3 linked regions of the Caenorhabditis elegans genome follow. The protein of the gene in region 3 purifies or fractionates together with the protein of the main gene of each other region. This does not show direct contact. Each region holds a gene or a part of one and is shown on either strand. Other genes may lie near its edges.

Region 1 (3,222 bases), on a different chromosome or scaffold from region 3:
TGGACTGAAAGCGCTAAACAACACGCGCGCCCGTTATTTCGGAGTCTCGTTTTTGGCAATTTTTCAAATTTCGAGTTTATTGACTTTTGAAGTTTGCGCTACACACAGGCAGAACTATTACGGGAACAATAAATTCTGAGAATCCGTATTAATAGCGTATTGCGCAACATATATGACGCGTAAAATATCTCGTAGTGAAAACTACAATAATTCTTTAAATGACTACTGTAGCTGATACTTTCGAAACAAATTGTTTTTAGGATTGTGGCAGGCGATGTTTAATTTTCCTCTAATTTTTCGTGTTTTTTGTCAATTCGATGCCTTTTTTATAGTTTTCATCAAAAAATTAGAAAATAAACAACGTAAAATCTGATCAGCGCTACAGTAGTTATTTAAAGAATTACTGTAGTTTTCGCTGCAAGATATACATATGTTGCGCAATACGCATTCTCAGAATTCAGTGTTTCAGTAATATAATATGGTATAGAATGCACACAAAAGCCACAAAAGAAAATAAAACGATAGATTAATGTTAAAGATTTTTTATTCATCAAAAAGTTGTTGCAGTGTCTGGTGGTTTGGGTTCAGTTTTTCAGATCATTAAAGTTGGGGTTTAGTGTACAGCGCAGCCATAAAGAAAATGAGGGAAGTTTTTTTGGAAAAAATATTTGAAATAAATATATTAGGTTGAGATGATGAGTCCGTAGGCGTCGAAGTTTACTCGTCGTCGCCAGCTGCCTTCTTGTTGTCTGGCTCTTCTCCGTTATCAGAAGCTCCACGTTTTGTCCCACGTGGTTCAGCGTCTCCTCCCTGAAAAATTGAAATTAAGAACATACGTTTCTGAAATATGAGTCCGAAAACTAACCTCTGGAGCATAATCGTCAGTCTCGTCGTCGGAGAACTGGCTCTTCTCGAGATAGCTGAGTCCGGGTCCATCTTCATCGCCGCTTCCCTCCTCGCTGTCTTCTCCTCCCTCACCGGCAAACTCCTCCTCAACTTCCTCTCCATCAACATCGCATCCATCAAGAATCTTCAGCGATGGAATCATCTCGAACATCTTCTCACGATAGTCCTCGAGGAGTCCGAGACTTGGATTATTCGACAAGTCGAGCTCGAAAAGATTTGGAAGAACCTTTAAGCACCGGAGATTATCCAAAGAGAGCTTGTTGCTGGCGAGTGTGATCTTCTTAAGATCTGGAGCATTTTTCACAAGAACATCAAACGAAGCGTTGTCTCCAAGCTGATTGTCACTGATATCCAAATAGGTAAGAGCTGGAAGAGTTGGGAACCCGGCGAGTGTGGTGAGTCCGCACTTCACCATGCTGAGCATCTCCAAGTTGATAAGCTGGTCGGTGAGTCCTCCGATTTGTCCATCTTCAGCGTTGTCGAGGAATAGAGTATCGACAGTAGCTGGATCCCTCTCTCTGAGCTCTTTGACGTAGATTTCGGCCATAGACGGCATGATTGAGGATGTAGTCTGAAGGTAGAGGCATTAAAATAAAGTTGAGATGTAAGAGACAAGAGAGAAAATTAAAAAATCGAACAGAAAATGGAGTTTCTTTCCGAATTGGAAACAAGTCGAATAAAAAAAGCTATTTAGACGGTCACAATCAGTATAAAAATGCTTAGTCCATTTAGAGTCCAGTTTCTTACATCACGCACGAATGACTCAAGAAACACGGATAAAATCAATGAAACGATGGTGCAGCAAATTTTGGAAGGCTATGTTAAAAATTCCAAGCGAATAGACTGATTCTATTCGCTTTATATACGATTCTATAATGACAATGAACGCGCAACGCTCAACGAACGAACAAAATCGATACACTGCCAAGAAAAAAGGCCTAAATTAGGAGGAGAGCGCGCGAAAAACAAATTTGGTTGCGCGCGCTGAGAATCAAATGCATTAGCAGTGGAGCGCGTTTGTACACCACTGACGAGGGGAACATGTGAAGGTGCTCAGAGGAATAGCATAAGAGACTTATGTCAGTCGATAGACCATGTTTAGAAACGGTGATTTGAAAATTTTTAGCGGCGAATCTTCAGAACCAAGTTCACGGCGTACGCTCAAAGAAAGCGAAAACAACAATGTAACTGCAAACACTAACAAGGGAAGTAGACGAACTCAATCTCTGATTTTGGTATGGATAATACTATTTGATCGGAAAAATACCATGTCATGTCAAAGTCTGAGATTAATTTCATCTACTTCCTTTGTAATGGGTCAATTTTCAAAATTTTCCAGATATAAGCATAAAAATTGCATCAACAGCATTAACATATTTAACAATAACATTTACCGCACTTCACATGCTTTAATCTCAAACAAAGATTTTTTTGATAAAAAACTTTCAACTCCAAACGTGTAAAGTTGATAACTTTTCCATCAAAATCCGCGGAGACATGAGTTTCCGAAGTGAATATTGATCCCTAAGTGCTACGTTACAGTGTTGTTTTAGATGTCTTTAAGAGCATGTCGTGAGCTTGATTATGGAGACTTGCAGCTAAAAGTTTACGGATAACCGTTTCTAAACATGGTTCATCAAACGGCATAAGTCTCATATGCTACTCCGCTGGGCAGGTTTAGGGGCGGATCGAGGGCGGATCGAGAGCTTCTCTGGAAAGTGAGCTGGCGAAAGGAAAAATTATAGAACATATATAGAACATATATTGAACAATATGATTATTGAATAGAAATTTGTATTTTTTTCACAAAAAAATGAGCGAAAATTGTATTTTTCTGTGTGAAAAAATACATAAAGTGAACTAATTGGGATCAATCAAATTAAAACTAAATCTTCTATGCGTTTTTGAGCTTTTGTCGGATATTGTTTCCCAGATGTTTCCCAGAAAGTTCAATGACTTCACTCTGAAATCCACTCTGAAATCCATAAAACCTACTACACACCTCCGAGAATTCGATAAAATCTCATCAAGATGCCCCAAATTGTTCGATGCGCCTCTTCTCTGTGAAACGAAACGAACATATCCCTGCAGTATTCCACATAGATTTCACTGAGTTTGCTACCAAAATGTCAGCTGAGAAAAAGGAGGTTTCAAAGGTTTGATTTTTTTTAATTGTATTGATTTTCGATTTAAAAACAAGATTTTTAATCCAAAAAAATAACTCACTATTTTGCTTCAAAAAATAAAATAATTTACAGTCAGAAGCTGGTTACTACTTTCTCCTTGAACTTGCATCGGCATTTGTGCTCTCGGCGG
Region 2 (7,135 bases), about 12 Mb from region 3:
AGCGGGAGAATGAGCATGAAAACGCACTTTATTCACATACATTTCAATACAAAAAATACATTTCTTTTTAAAATTCTAGTTCAATTCAATGGCAGGTGGGGCAGTCTGATTTTGTGTGGGATTTGATGGTACGTTAGAAATCAATCTGAAATGTAAAAAATAAGAGTTTGGCTTTCGCAGTCCATATTCTTTGAATATGAAGAATTTCTTAAACTGTTACAAATGAAAAATGACTTACATTACTTTATTGAGCGAGTTTTTTAAGAAACCGAATCGGACAACGGAGAATTGTAACGAAAACGCGAGTTGGGCTGAAGAAGAAATTTTGTTGTATTTTTCATGAAAAATATATCAACATACGAGACACGATTGTACTAACGTGTACATATATTCCGAGAAAAGAAGGTGCCCATAGAAATAACGCGCAAACAATCCACAAAATGAGAAGAACCCATAATTCACTGTTTGAATAATGTTTTGGAGAATGACATTCTGAAAATTTTGAGATAGCTATCCTAAGTAACATCGCAAAACTGGTCAAAAGGTTATAATCTGCGGAATATAGGTAATAGTTTTCCTCATTGTATTTCTTGGTCAAAATAAGTAACTAGAAACTAACTCAGCGAGAAAAACGATGTCGACGCAACAAAAGAGAATATTGAGAGTGAGCAGAAATTGAACACCCTTTTCTGGTAATCATCCCATTTCGGTTCTCCTGCAAAATAGCTTAAAATACAGTTTTAACTTTAATTTTTACCTTTTATCAGCGTGACGGAAGCTAATAAAATTAACATCCACGGAATGAATGCGAGTTCCAGCGAAAACTTTTTCACAAATTGAGCAGCAACTCTAAAAATTATATTTCCAAAAATAGAGCAGAAAATTGCAGATTTTTAAAATTTAGAAATAAATTCCAATTGTACTCGTTTCACTCACTTTTGTTTTAATAATTGGTGCGTTAGCTTCAGCTTTTTTTTCTTTTTAATACAGGCGGTATAGCGAAGATAACAGGAAGACCGCCACTATGGTCGTAACAATAATTGTCCCTGCAGCAACAATTTTCAATCTGAACAACCAATCCTTGATAAGCAGTCCCCAAACTAATTCGTCTTTCAATGTCTTTGCATCCTCTGTACAAATTACTGAAATAGCCAGAACACAGAGAAGGAGTTGGCTTAGATATCCAAACAAGGCTAGAACAGAAGCAATTGCCAGTTTGAATGCCTCGACTCTGAAATATTACAATAAAATAATTTACTATTCGGGCGTTGTTTCTCGAATCGCAAAAATGTTTGACGCTTGGCAACGACGGACATTGCCAAACGCTGATATTTTTGGCAATTGTCAAAATTGCCGAGCATAAAGTTAATTGACATATATTCACACTCTTTTTCTTTCAAAAACTTCCCTACCAATACATTTTGGCATGTCAGCGTTGTTCGAGCTCCAAATACGTGTTATATTGTTAACGCATATTTTTTGACTTCTGTAACTGTGGATTCTGCATTTCCTGCATCTGTTTTGGCTATTGTCGGCGCTGTTTCTTCTTTAGTCACGACGAGTGGCAATTCCTTCTTCGACGTGAAGCCGCCATCAGCCTTTGAGGCATCAGCCAGAGTTCGCGGTCTAGAAACCCCCACACGGCCATCGTCGGCAAGCGCGCTCTACCGCACGCCTGTGCAATTTTCAATGCAATTTCTTTCGAATTTAGGCGATCGATTTTTCGGCTTTTCCGTTGCTTTTCGTCAGTTTTTTGTGGTGTTTTATTTTGAAAATATGTGAAAAATTAAATTTTGAAGTTAAAACTTGCATAAAACCAGTAAAACATTGTAAAAATCAGTCTCAAGCGGAGGAATTGGGGTTTTCACTTTTCTCGCCATTCTGTCACTATTTTCTGCGTTTTTTTCAAACTTTAAGAAGTATTTTTCAGGTAAAATGGCAATTGTCAAGAAGAAGAAGGTGTCCGCTGCCTCAAAAGCTGCTACAGAGAAGCCAGAAGTTAAGAAAGCCGTTAAAAGACCTGTTGCAGTGAGTTTTTGCACTAAACATTCACGACGAAGCTCCAATTTTTTAGGAAACCGAGGCAGTGACTCCAAAGAAGAAGAAGCTAGTGAAAAAGGTGAAGAAATCGGCGAAAAAGGCTCATGAGGAGGAACCAATCGAGCAGGTCGAGAAGCTGCAGCTTATCGACGATGACGAGGACGGCCTGGAAGGTCTCAGCTTCCCAGGAAGTGACGATGAAGATCTCAGAGATGACTATTCCGATGATGGTATGGGGGAACATCTGAAAACCCTGAAATTAAAATTTTTTTCCAGATTCCGACGCCGGAGATCATCTGCCAATCGAGAAAAAATCCGCGGCTCTCGACAAGCAGAAGGAGAAGATTATCGCTGAAGGAGAGGAAGAGTTGCAGCTAAACATCGCAAATCAAGCGACTTTCGAGCTTCCAACCGTCGAGGAGATTGAAAATGAGATGAAATCCGTGCCAAACTTGGAAATTGTGAAGCAGCGTATTGCCGACGTCATCCAGGTTCTTGGAGACTTCAAGAATCGCCGAGATCCACAGAAATCGCGTGAAAACTATGTAGAAGTGCTGAAGAAGGATCTATGCTCACAGTATGGATACAATGACTATTTAATGGGAAAATTCATGGATTTATTCCCAAATGGAGCGGAGCTATTGGAGTTTTTGGAGGCTAACGACAATCCGAGACCAGTAACCATTAGAGCCAACTCGCTCAAGGTTAAACGGTAAAATTTGGAGGTTTTTGGATTTCTCGGCATAAATAGTCACATAAAATTGAAGTTTTGGACATAAAAAATAATGCAAAGCTATTCAATTTTGAAGATTTTCAGCTAAAAATTATTTTCCGCGATTTTCAACTGGAAAGTGATAAAATTTCCATGTCCTCATCTTGAAAAATAGTATTGATCAGATTGGGTCTGCTAGACTACAAACTACAAATTTCGATTTAGCAGACCCAAGTGATTTTGAATAAATTGGGTCTGCTAGACTACAAACTACAAATTTCGATTTAGCAGACCCACGTGATTGTGAATAGATTGGGTCTGCTAGACTACAAACTACAAATTCCGATTTAGCAGACCCACGTGATTTTGAATAGATTGGGTCTGAAATTCGGTCTGTTAGACTAATTTAGACTTAAAAGTGCTGATTTTTCACGAATTTCAACTCAAAATTGCCCACTGTCTTTAGTTCTGATCTAAAACAGCTCATTTTCCATAATTTTGGTCCCAAAATCGCCAGTTTTCACTATTGTATTATTTAAAATCGTTTAATTTCTACTCATTTGGACTAAAAACTGGTCTTTTTTATTACTTTTGAACTAAAAATTACTCGTTTTTCACCAATTTGTTGTCAAAATCGCTCAATTTTCATATTTTTAAGCTAACAATTTCCATTTTTCAGTCGTGACCTCGCTAAGAACCTCATCAACCGTGGAATGAACGTGGATCCAGCCGCCGATTGGACTAAAGTTGGACTCGTTGTCTATGATTCTCAGGTCCCAGTTGGAGCAACTCCCGAATACTTGGCCGGACATTATATGATTCAAGGACTCAATTCACTGCTGCCAGTGATGGCCTTGGCTCCACAACCAGGAGATCGTGTATTGGATATGTGTTCTGCTCCTGGAGGAAAAACCAGTCATATTGCTGCTCTTATGAAGAATAGCGGAGTTTTGTTCGCTAACGACGCGAATGTACGTGAAAAATTGATGAAAATAGATAAGGCTGAAATATTACAATTTTCAATCTAAAAAGTAGAAAATTTGACATTTTCGAACGAAAAACTATCAAAAGTTGCCTGGTTTTCATTGGGAAATTCCTAAAAATTCAATTTTCATCCGAAAAAAATTGATTTTTCATCAAAAATCTCCCGAAAACTTTATTTTTCCAGTTCACCCGTTGCCGTGCTATCATTGGAAATCTCCATCGCCTCGGAGTCAACAATACCGTCGTTTGTAATCTGGGAGGAGAAGAGTTCTCGAAAATCCGTCCGAATGGTTTTGATCGTATTCTTTTGGATGCACCATGCTCTGGAACTGGAGTTATTTGGAAGGATCAATCGGTTAAAACATCCAAAGATTCACAGGATGTTCAGAGACGTCATACTATGCAAAGACAGCTGATTCTCTCTGCTTTGGACTCGTTGGACGCTAATTCTCCGAATGGAGGTGCGGAAATTTGCAAAAATCACGAAAATAGGACCCAGAATAGCGAAAAAGCGTCCAAGATTGAAATTGTTTTTCTAAAAGCCACATTTTTTCTCTAGAAACCGAGAAATTCTCAATTTTTGCACTAAAAACTATTTCAATGTGCAATTTCTCCTGAAAATGATAAAATTGCGGGAAAATCTACAGAACAAAAACTATAAAAATCGGCTCTGGAATAGCGAAATAACGTTGAAATCGAACATTTCTTGATTTTTGCACTAAACTTATCGAATTTTTCAATGTTTTTGTGATTTATATTTTAAAAACTGAAAAATCGCTCTCAAAGAGCATAATTTTGCTCCGAAAATATTGAAAACCCCCGTTTTTCCAATTTTAAATCTAATTTTCCAGGATATCTCGTGTACTCCACGTGCTCTGTACTCGTCGAGGAAAACGAAGCCGTCGTCAATTTCCTTCTGGAACGTCGTCACTGTGAACTTGTTCCAACTGGATTATCGATTGGTGTGGATGGATATACACGATTCCGTGATTATCGTTTCCATCCGTCACTTTCAATGACTAAACGCTATTATCCACATGTTCATAATATTGATGGATTCTACGTGGCAAAGATCAAGAAGTTGTCTAATGCGAAAATGAGCAAGCAGGGTGTCATGGAGGTAAAAAAATGCGGAGAAAATTGGAAAAATTGACGGAAAATCCATTAAAAATGAAGAAAATCCCGAAAAAACTACCAAAAATTGGTCTGCTAGACTACAAACTACAAGTTTTGGTTTAGCAGACCCAAAGTTTTTGGTCTGCTAGACTACAAACTACAAGTTTTGGTTTAGCAGACCCAAAGTTTTTGGTCTGCTAGACTACAAACTACAAATTTCGATTTAGCAGACCAAAGTGGTTTTGATGAAATTTGGTCCGCAAGACTAATTTAAGCTTAAAATTTCTCAATTTTTACAAATTTCAACTCAAAATTGCCCATTTTCCAGAATTCCTAATCGAAAATAGCTTATTTTCCACTATTTTTGTCTCAAAATCGTCAAATTTCACGATTTTGATGTAAAATTACCACTTTTTCTCCAATTTTTGATCAAAATCGCTCAATTTTCATGAATTTACTGTTAAAATGTCCCATTTCTCAGCCCTAAACTCAATTTTTCTGCGTTTTTTTTTTTCATCGAAACTATCGAAAATTTAACCTTTTTACATTAGAAAAGCTGAAAAATTTACAATTTTCGTGTGGAAAAATCACTAAAAATTAATTAAATCCTGAATTTTAACAAATTTTATCAGAAAATGAATTATTTTGATGTAAGAATCTTCTTAAATCACGGAGCTTCGACAAAATTCTGTGTTTTCGTGAAATTTCCAAGATATTAGCCCCTAATTTATGTCAGTTTTTCAGAAAGAAAAGGAAAAGGCCGCCCAAAAATCGCAGAACAAGAAGAATAAGGCTGAAGCTGAGGCTTCTGAGTCTTCAGATGATGAAGAGGAGAAGAAGAATGGTGTAGAGGTTAATGGACAGAAGAAGCCAGCGAAAAAGCAGCAGCAAAAGAAGCAAAAAGCCGATGGTGATGACTCGGATGATGATAATAATGCTCCAAGTGCGTAGAAATTTGAGGAAATTAGCTGAAAATCTGCTTTTTTTGAGCCAAAATTATGAAAAACTGAAGAAAATTTACCAGAAATTGCTAATATTTTAAATCAGAAGCTAAAAATAACTCAAAATTATATTTTCCAATGTTTTTACTGGAAAAAATGGAAAAAATAGCAATTTTCTTACTTAAAAACCATCAAAATCCTCCATTTTTCAGTGAAAAACATTGGCTCCGGAGCTCGTGCGAACAAGAAGCGTCGTAATCAGAAGAAGGCAGCCGAGAAGCAGGCCGCTGTCAAGGAGGATGACGGTTTCAATACGGTACGGACTAGATTTCAGAAAAATCAGTTTTTGAGGCTTTTTTCAGCCGAAAAAACCCAAAAATTCGTAGATTTTACTTTTAAAATCCTAAATTCGAGCCATTTTCTCACTGAAAAGCTTTAAAAAATGCCAAATTTCCATATAAAAATATTATTTTTTGCAGGTTGGAAACGTGAAACGCGCCAAAAAACCGACCCAATTCAAGTCAAAAGTGCCAAAACGTGCGGCCGCCCGTACCGGAGCAAAATCGGTGAAAAATCGTCGAAAGAAGATGTTGGCCAAGCAACAATAGGCTCATTTTCCTCAAAATTTGGCTTTTTTTTTTAATTTTTCGACGAAAAATATCCAAATTCGCCTGAAATTCACCAATTTTTCGTTGATTTTATTCTATTTTTTGCCCCTTTTTTGTTGTTTTTACATTGTTTTTCGTTATTTTTTTTGTTCCAATTATTCCCATCATTGTTAAACTTTTTTATATATCCGTCGTTTTTATTCCAAAAAAAAAATAATTTTTTTGATTTTTTTTTTTGCTTTGAAATTTGAGCTTTTCATTGGTTTTTAAGCCTGAATTTTATTTTTTTTTTTTGTAAAAATTTGCTGGAAACTGGCAAATTCTCATTTCAGGGAAAAAAATCGGAAAAATTGACTTTTTCAAACCGAAAACGCGAATTTTTCTGTTTCAAAACTCATTTCAATCCGGTTAACGGCAAAAAATTATGTGCAAAAGCTGAAAATTTGCCGTTTTTGCACAGAAAATCCAAATTTTGCTCTTTTCAATCTCAAAAAACATTAAAAATTTCAAAAACAATCAGTTTTTGACCAAATTTCCACGATTTTCAGTCTCTGAAATCTCAAAATTCACGTTTTCTTCACTAAAAATCCGCTAAAATCGCCTAAATTTCAGTAAAAATGGTACTGGTTCGTGACGAAAATTTTTCTGGAAACCGGCAAATTCTTATTTTTGGAGAAACATTATCTGAAAAATGGACATTTTTAACCTAAAAAGCGAATTTTTCTGTTTCAAAA
Region 3 (3,601 bases):
CCGTGACGTTATAATTTCCAGAAATCCCTACCCAATATGCTTCACCGCAATGCTCACAATTCCACACTGGCGGAAGCACTTCCAAAACGCGTGTTTCACCTGGCGGCTCGTGAAGTCCGCGTGGACAAAACCGAAGACGTCTACGACTTCTGTGGAGATTTCTACTACGAAAAAGTTGGAAGCGGAGACGGATTTGTACTTCAGACAGCTTAATGAATCATGGATATGAAACTTTTTTTTATTTGAATACAATAATTTTGCTCATGCTTGTTTTATTTGTAATGTAAGTGCGCTCCATTGAACATGTGGACTTCGATATTTTTGCTCTTCAAAAAATGCGGAAGTTGAGAAGCAGACATCTCATCTGATTTTGCATGGTTAAGAGCGTGCTGACGTCACAATTTTTCTGGAAAAATATTCCCGCATTTTTTGTAGATCAAGCTGTAATGCGGCAGCCTGACACCACGTGTATTTATTAATTCTTCAAAAATACAAATGTTCCAACAAAAAAAAAATAATTCAAATCCAAGAATTCGCCAATTGCTTAAAATATAAATTAGTCTCCACATCGTTCTTCTTTTTCGCACACTCCTCAATTTCCACGACAATATGCACAGGTTTTCGTCTATTTCTGAACAACCGTACCGTCAAAAATGACTTCATAAATTGCTCTTTCCACTGCGGAATGCTCAACATTGCGGTTAAGCCAATGAGAAATGGGTTTCTAAAAATAGTAAATTAAGTTGGGGAGCTTCAAGATCACAGCTCACAAAAAGAGCACATTTTCGATGAGATGGCAATAGTAGGACGGTACAATTTTGTAGTGGAGCGCCGCGATTCCACACCCACAAATTCCGATAAAAGATAGGACGGCAAAGACCAAGCGGGTACCAAGCTGGAAATTTAGAAATTTCAAAATTTGATTGTGCAGGATGACACCCGTCAACTCACATGTAACACTCTTAGATTCTCCTTGACTTGAAACTGCTGGGAAAGTGTGAAAATTCGCTTCCTACCCGGATTCTTAATCTCCCGTCGGAACGATTCATTGACTTTTTTCACGAACACATATGCCTGAACAAGTTTCATGTTGGAAAATTTTTCTAAAATCTTGCTCACAGCCACTGAAATCGGGCAGCTTATCATCCAGGGGAAATGAGCAGAAAGTGGTCCGACCTTTTGAAACAGAAGACCAAAAGCCATGGAGATTGATAAAAATTGGCTGATAATAAGGAGAATTGCTGGCATTAGGTTTTGGGTGTTGGATTCATAGTTTCTGAAAAACTTAATGAACGTCCTCCAATGTCTCTCGACTTACTCTATTAACACTGAAGCAATCACCCGCTCTACCGCAACTGTAAGCACACCAAAAATCCAAGAATACATATAATGCCACTGCAGAAATCCACCAAAAATCAATAGTTCCAAGCCGTTCAGTGACGCCACCAATAAAACTTTTCCGGGATCATTCGTCCAGATCGCGGTGTGCTCGCCGAGCTCAAAGTCTAGGCCCAGAAGTTTCAGCCGATAGGCTATAGTGATAAACTTCCCAATGATAAGCTCATACCACATGCCAAACATGGGAAGCGCCAAAATATAGAGGTTACGGTGAAACAGACGAATTTTCAGAGCAACATGGAGGCTCACGTTTACCAGGTGAATGCAGACAAGGTAGATCATAAGTTCCAGTATTGATATGATAACTTGTTGATCTAACGGCTCAACGTAAAAGAATACTGGAAGCCATATAGATGAGAAAATGGTTGATGAATTAGAATTTATTATCATGATAAAAAGAGCTAGCTCAACACATAAGTTGTACTAAAACTGAAATCAATATAAGCAAATGTCTAAAGCACCTGTCGATCAGTTTTCGGCGCCAGGATCATGTCGCTGAATCAGAAGCAAAGTGAAGTTGTTCTTGGAAGCACCCCTTGAACTCCGCAGGTAAATCTTGCTTCGGAAAAACTTGAATTTTTCAAATTATAATAATTTGTTTCCCGTAATTTTTTTTTTCAAGAATTTCCAACTTCACCAATGTCGGCCGAATCCAATAACCTCCGTTAATTGCCCGTTTACGGCCAGTTCTTCTCCACTAAATTTTCAGACCTTGTCAGAATTCCAATTAGTATAAACTTATCTAGATTTTTGCCTTCCTTTCATGTTTTCAATTTTTAATTCTGTTTCCGTCCAAATAAACTGAATCGTTCTCAGTTGCTTCAGCGTTAAAAGCCAACTATTTCAGCTGCACATGCGTAAGCAAACCGTAACCTTAGACGAATAAGAGCAGGTGATTTATTGCATCTGAACTAAGACTTTTTCCTAATTTTTCTTCGATTTGCTCTCCTTCCGTCTGCAATGATCATCAGATACATTGCAAATTCAACAAGTTCTTCCTTATACTGGTTACCCATCTATTTCTACGATGAGCCTTTTAATCAGCAAGTGATAATCTCAATTGTTGAAATAGCTCTCTACATTTTGTGCAGCCAAGCTGTCAATGCATACGTACATGTTACGCTGAAAATTCGCCTTTTTCACAGAAACCTTTACATTTTGTCAATCCCGGTTTTCTTTCTCTGGTATGTACTAATCGCCGGTAAACTTATCATAATTGCCTATCGGCTGGACTTTCTAAAAATTGATATTCCGATTGGAGAGCACACGGACATCTGGACAGATGATATTGGAAAAATGCTCAATGTCAATAATTTGAATGGACTTGAGCTTATTCTGCTTTCAGGATTTCTTCAATGGTATTACATGTATTCCTTTATTTTTGTGGTGTTGGCAATGGTGGTGGAACGGACAATTGCTTCGGTTTTGATAGAGTAAGTAGCGGGGCGTCAGGAATTGCCAGGAACAATTTTTTGCAGTAACTATGAGTCTAACACTCGACTGTTAATTCCCGCAATTCTAGTCGTCACAAGTCAATTCCTATCGGTGTCTGTATCTTTTGCGCTACTCTTCCACAAAATTCACCCTTGCGACGCTCAACTTCCATGGATTATTAGTTGTGTCCTGTCTTTGATGGTTGGTTTTTTTAAAGAGTTTTTACAATAACTTGACATTTTCTTTTTAGGCGTGTGTCTTCCTAAAACTGTTGAACGAATCCTTCCAGCGGGAAATCAAGAACCCGGTTAGAAAACGACATTTCACAATTTCCCAGCAATTTCAAGTTAAGGAGAATTTAAGGGCAATTCGAGTAACCTATATGCTTGAGTCTAAACGATAAGAAAATAAATTTCAGCTTGGCTACCGTCTTGTGATAACTGTGCTCAGTTGCATTGCTCTCTATGGCATTGGAATCGCTGCTCTCAACTATGAAATCATTCCCCCAATTTTTTGTCATTTTGTTGAAAATCTACTATTTTTGTGAGTTTTTTTTATAATCGTTAGTTTATGAACTGAGTGTTTCCAGAAATCCGCTACCTATCGGACTGACTGCAATATTATTCGTTCCGCAGTGGAGGAAACAATTTGTAAAGTCATATTTGAGCTTCAACTGCCTGAAATTTAACCAACAAATTCTGCCTATGGAAACTGTAGAATGCCAGAGGAAGAAATTGGATATAGAAACAGATTTATATTTCAAGCAACT

Evidence for each region. Proteins that work in one complex are often made in the same cells at the same time.
Region 1: the proteins of sre-33 (region 3) and F33H2.3 fractionate together in Caenorhabditis elegans (co-fractionation; one large-scale study listed by BioGRID). This does not show direct contact.
Region 2: the proteins of sre-33 (region 3) and nsun-1 fractionate together in Caenorhabditis elegans (co-fractionation; one large-scale study listed by BioGRID). This does not show direct contact.

The regions. Positions count from the first base shown.
Region 1 is NC_003279.8:15,032,772-15,035,993, reverse strand, and holds F33H2.3 (Acidic leucine-rich nuclear phosphoprotein 32-related protein 1), read right to left. Parts: upstream 1,480-3,222; 5' UTR 1,463-1,479; coding exon 866-1,462; intron 811-865; coding exon 718-810; 3' UTR 527-717; downstream 1-526. Other genes in the region: F33H2.8 (TPT domain-containing protein), read left to right, coding at 2,955-3,062, 3,165-3,222.
Region 2 is NC_003280.10:470,736-477,870, reverse strand, and holds nsun-1 (26S rRNA (cytosine-C(5))-methyltransferase nsun-1), read left to right. Parts: upstream 1-1,930; 5' UTR 1,931-1,935; coding exon 1,936-2,028; exon of another isoform or gene 2,029-2,074; coding exon 2,075-2,270; exon of another isoform or gene 2,271-2,316; coding exon 2,317-2,752; exon of another isoform or gene 2,753-3,431; coding exon 3,432-3,723; exon of another isoform or gene 3,724-3,920; coding exon 3,921-4,197; exon of another isoform or gene 4,198-4,368; intron 4,369-4,587; coding exon 4,588-4,856; intron 4,857-5,596; coding exon 5,597-5,795; intron 5,796-6,005; coding exon 6,006-6,109; intron 6,110-6,272; coding exon 6,273-6,401; 3' UTR 6,402-6,609; downstream 6,610-7,135. Other genes in the region: W07E6.5 (G_PROTEIN_RECEP_F2_4 domain-containing protein), read right to left, coding at 76-145, 239-311, 361-492, 620-715, 758-794. UniProt on the Caenorhabditis elegans protein: Methyltransferase which methylates the carbon-5 position of cytosine 2982 to 5-methylcytosine (m5C2982) in 26S rRNA. May play a role in the translation of leucine and proline codons.
Region 3 is NC_003280.10:12,451,612-12,455,212, reverse strand, and holds sre-33 (Serpentine receptor class epsilon-33), read right to left. Parts: upstream 1,912-3,601; 5' UTR 1,789-1,911; coding exon 1,319-1,788; intron 1,277-1,318; coding exon 1,120-1,276; intron 1,075-1,119; coding exon 952-1,074; intron 896-951; coding exon 771-895; intron 725-770; coding exon 520-724; downstream 1-519. Other genes in the region: sre-32 (Serpentine receptor class epsilon-32), read left to right, coding at 22-229; sre-35 (Serpentine Receptor, class E (Epsilon)), read left to right, coding at 2,359-2,831, 2,877-3,033, 3,083-3,205, 3,251-3,375, 3,422-3,601.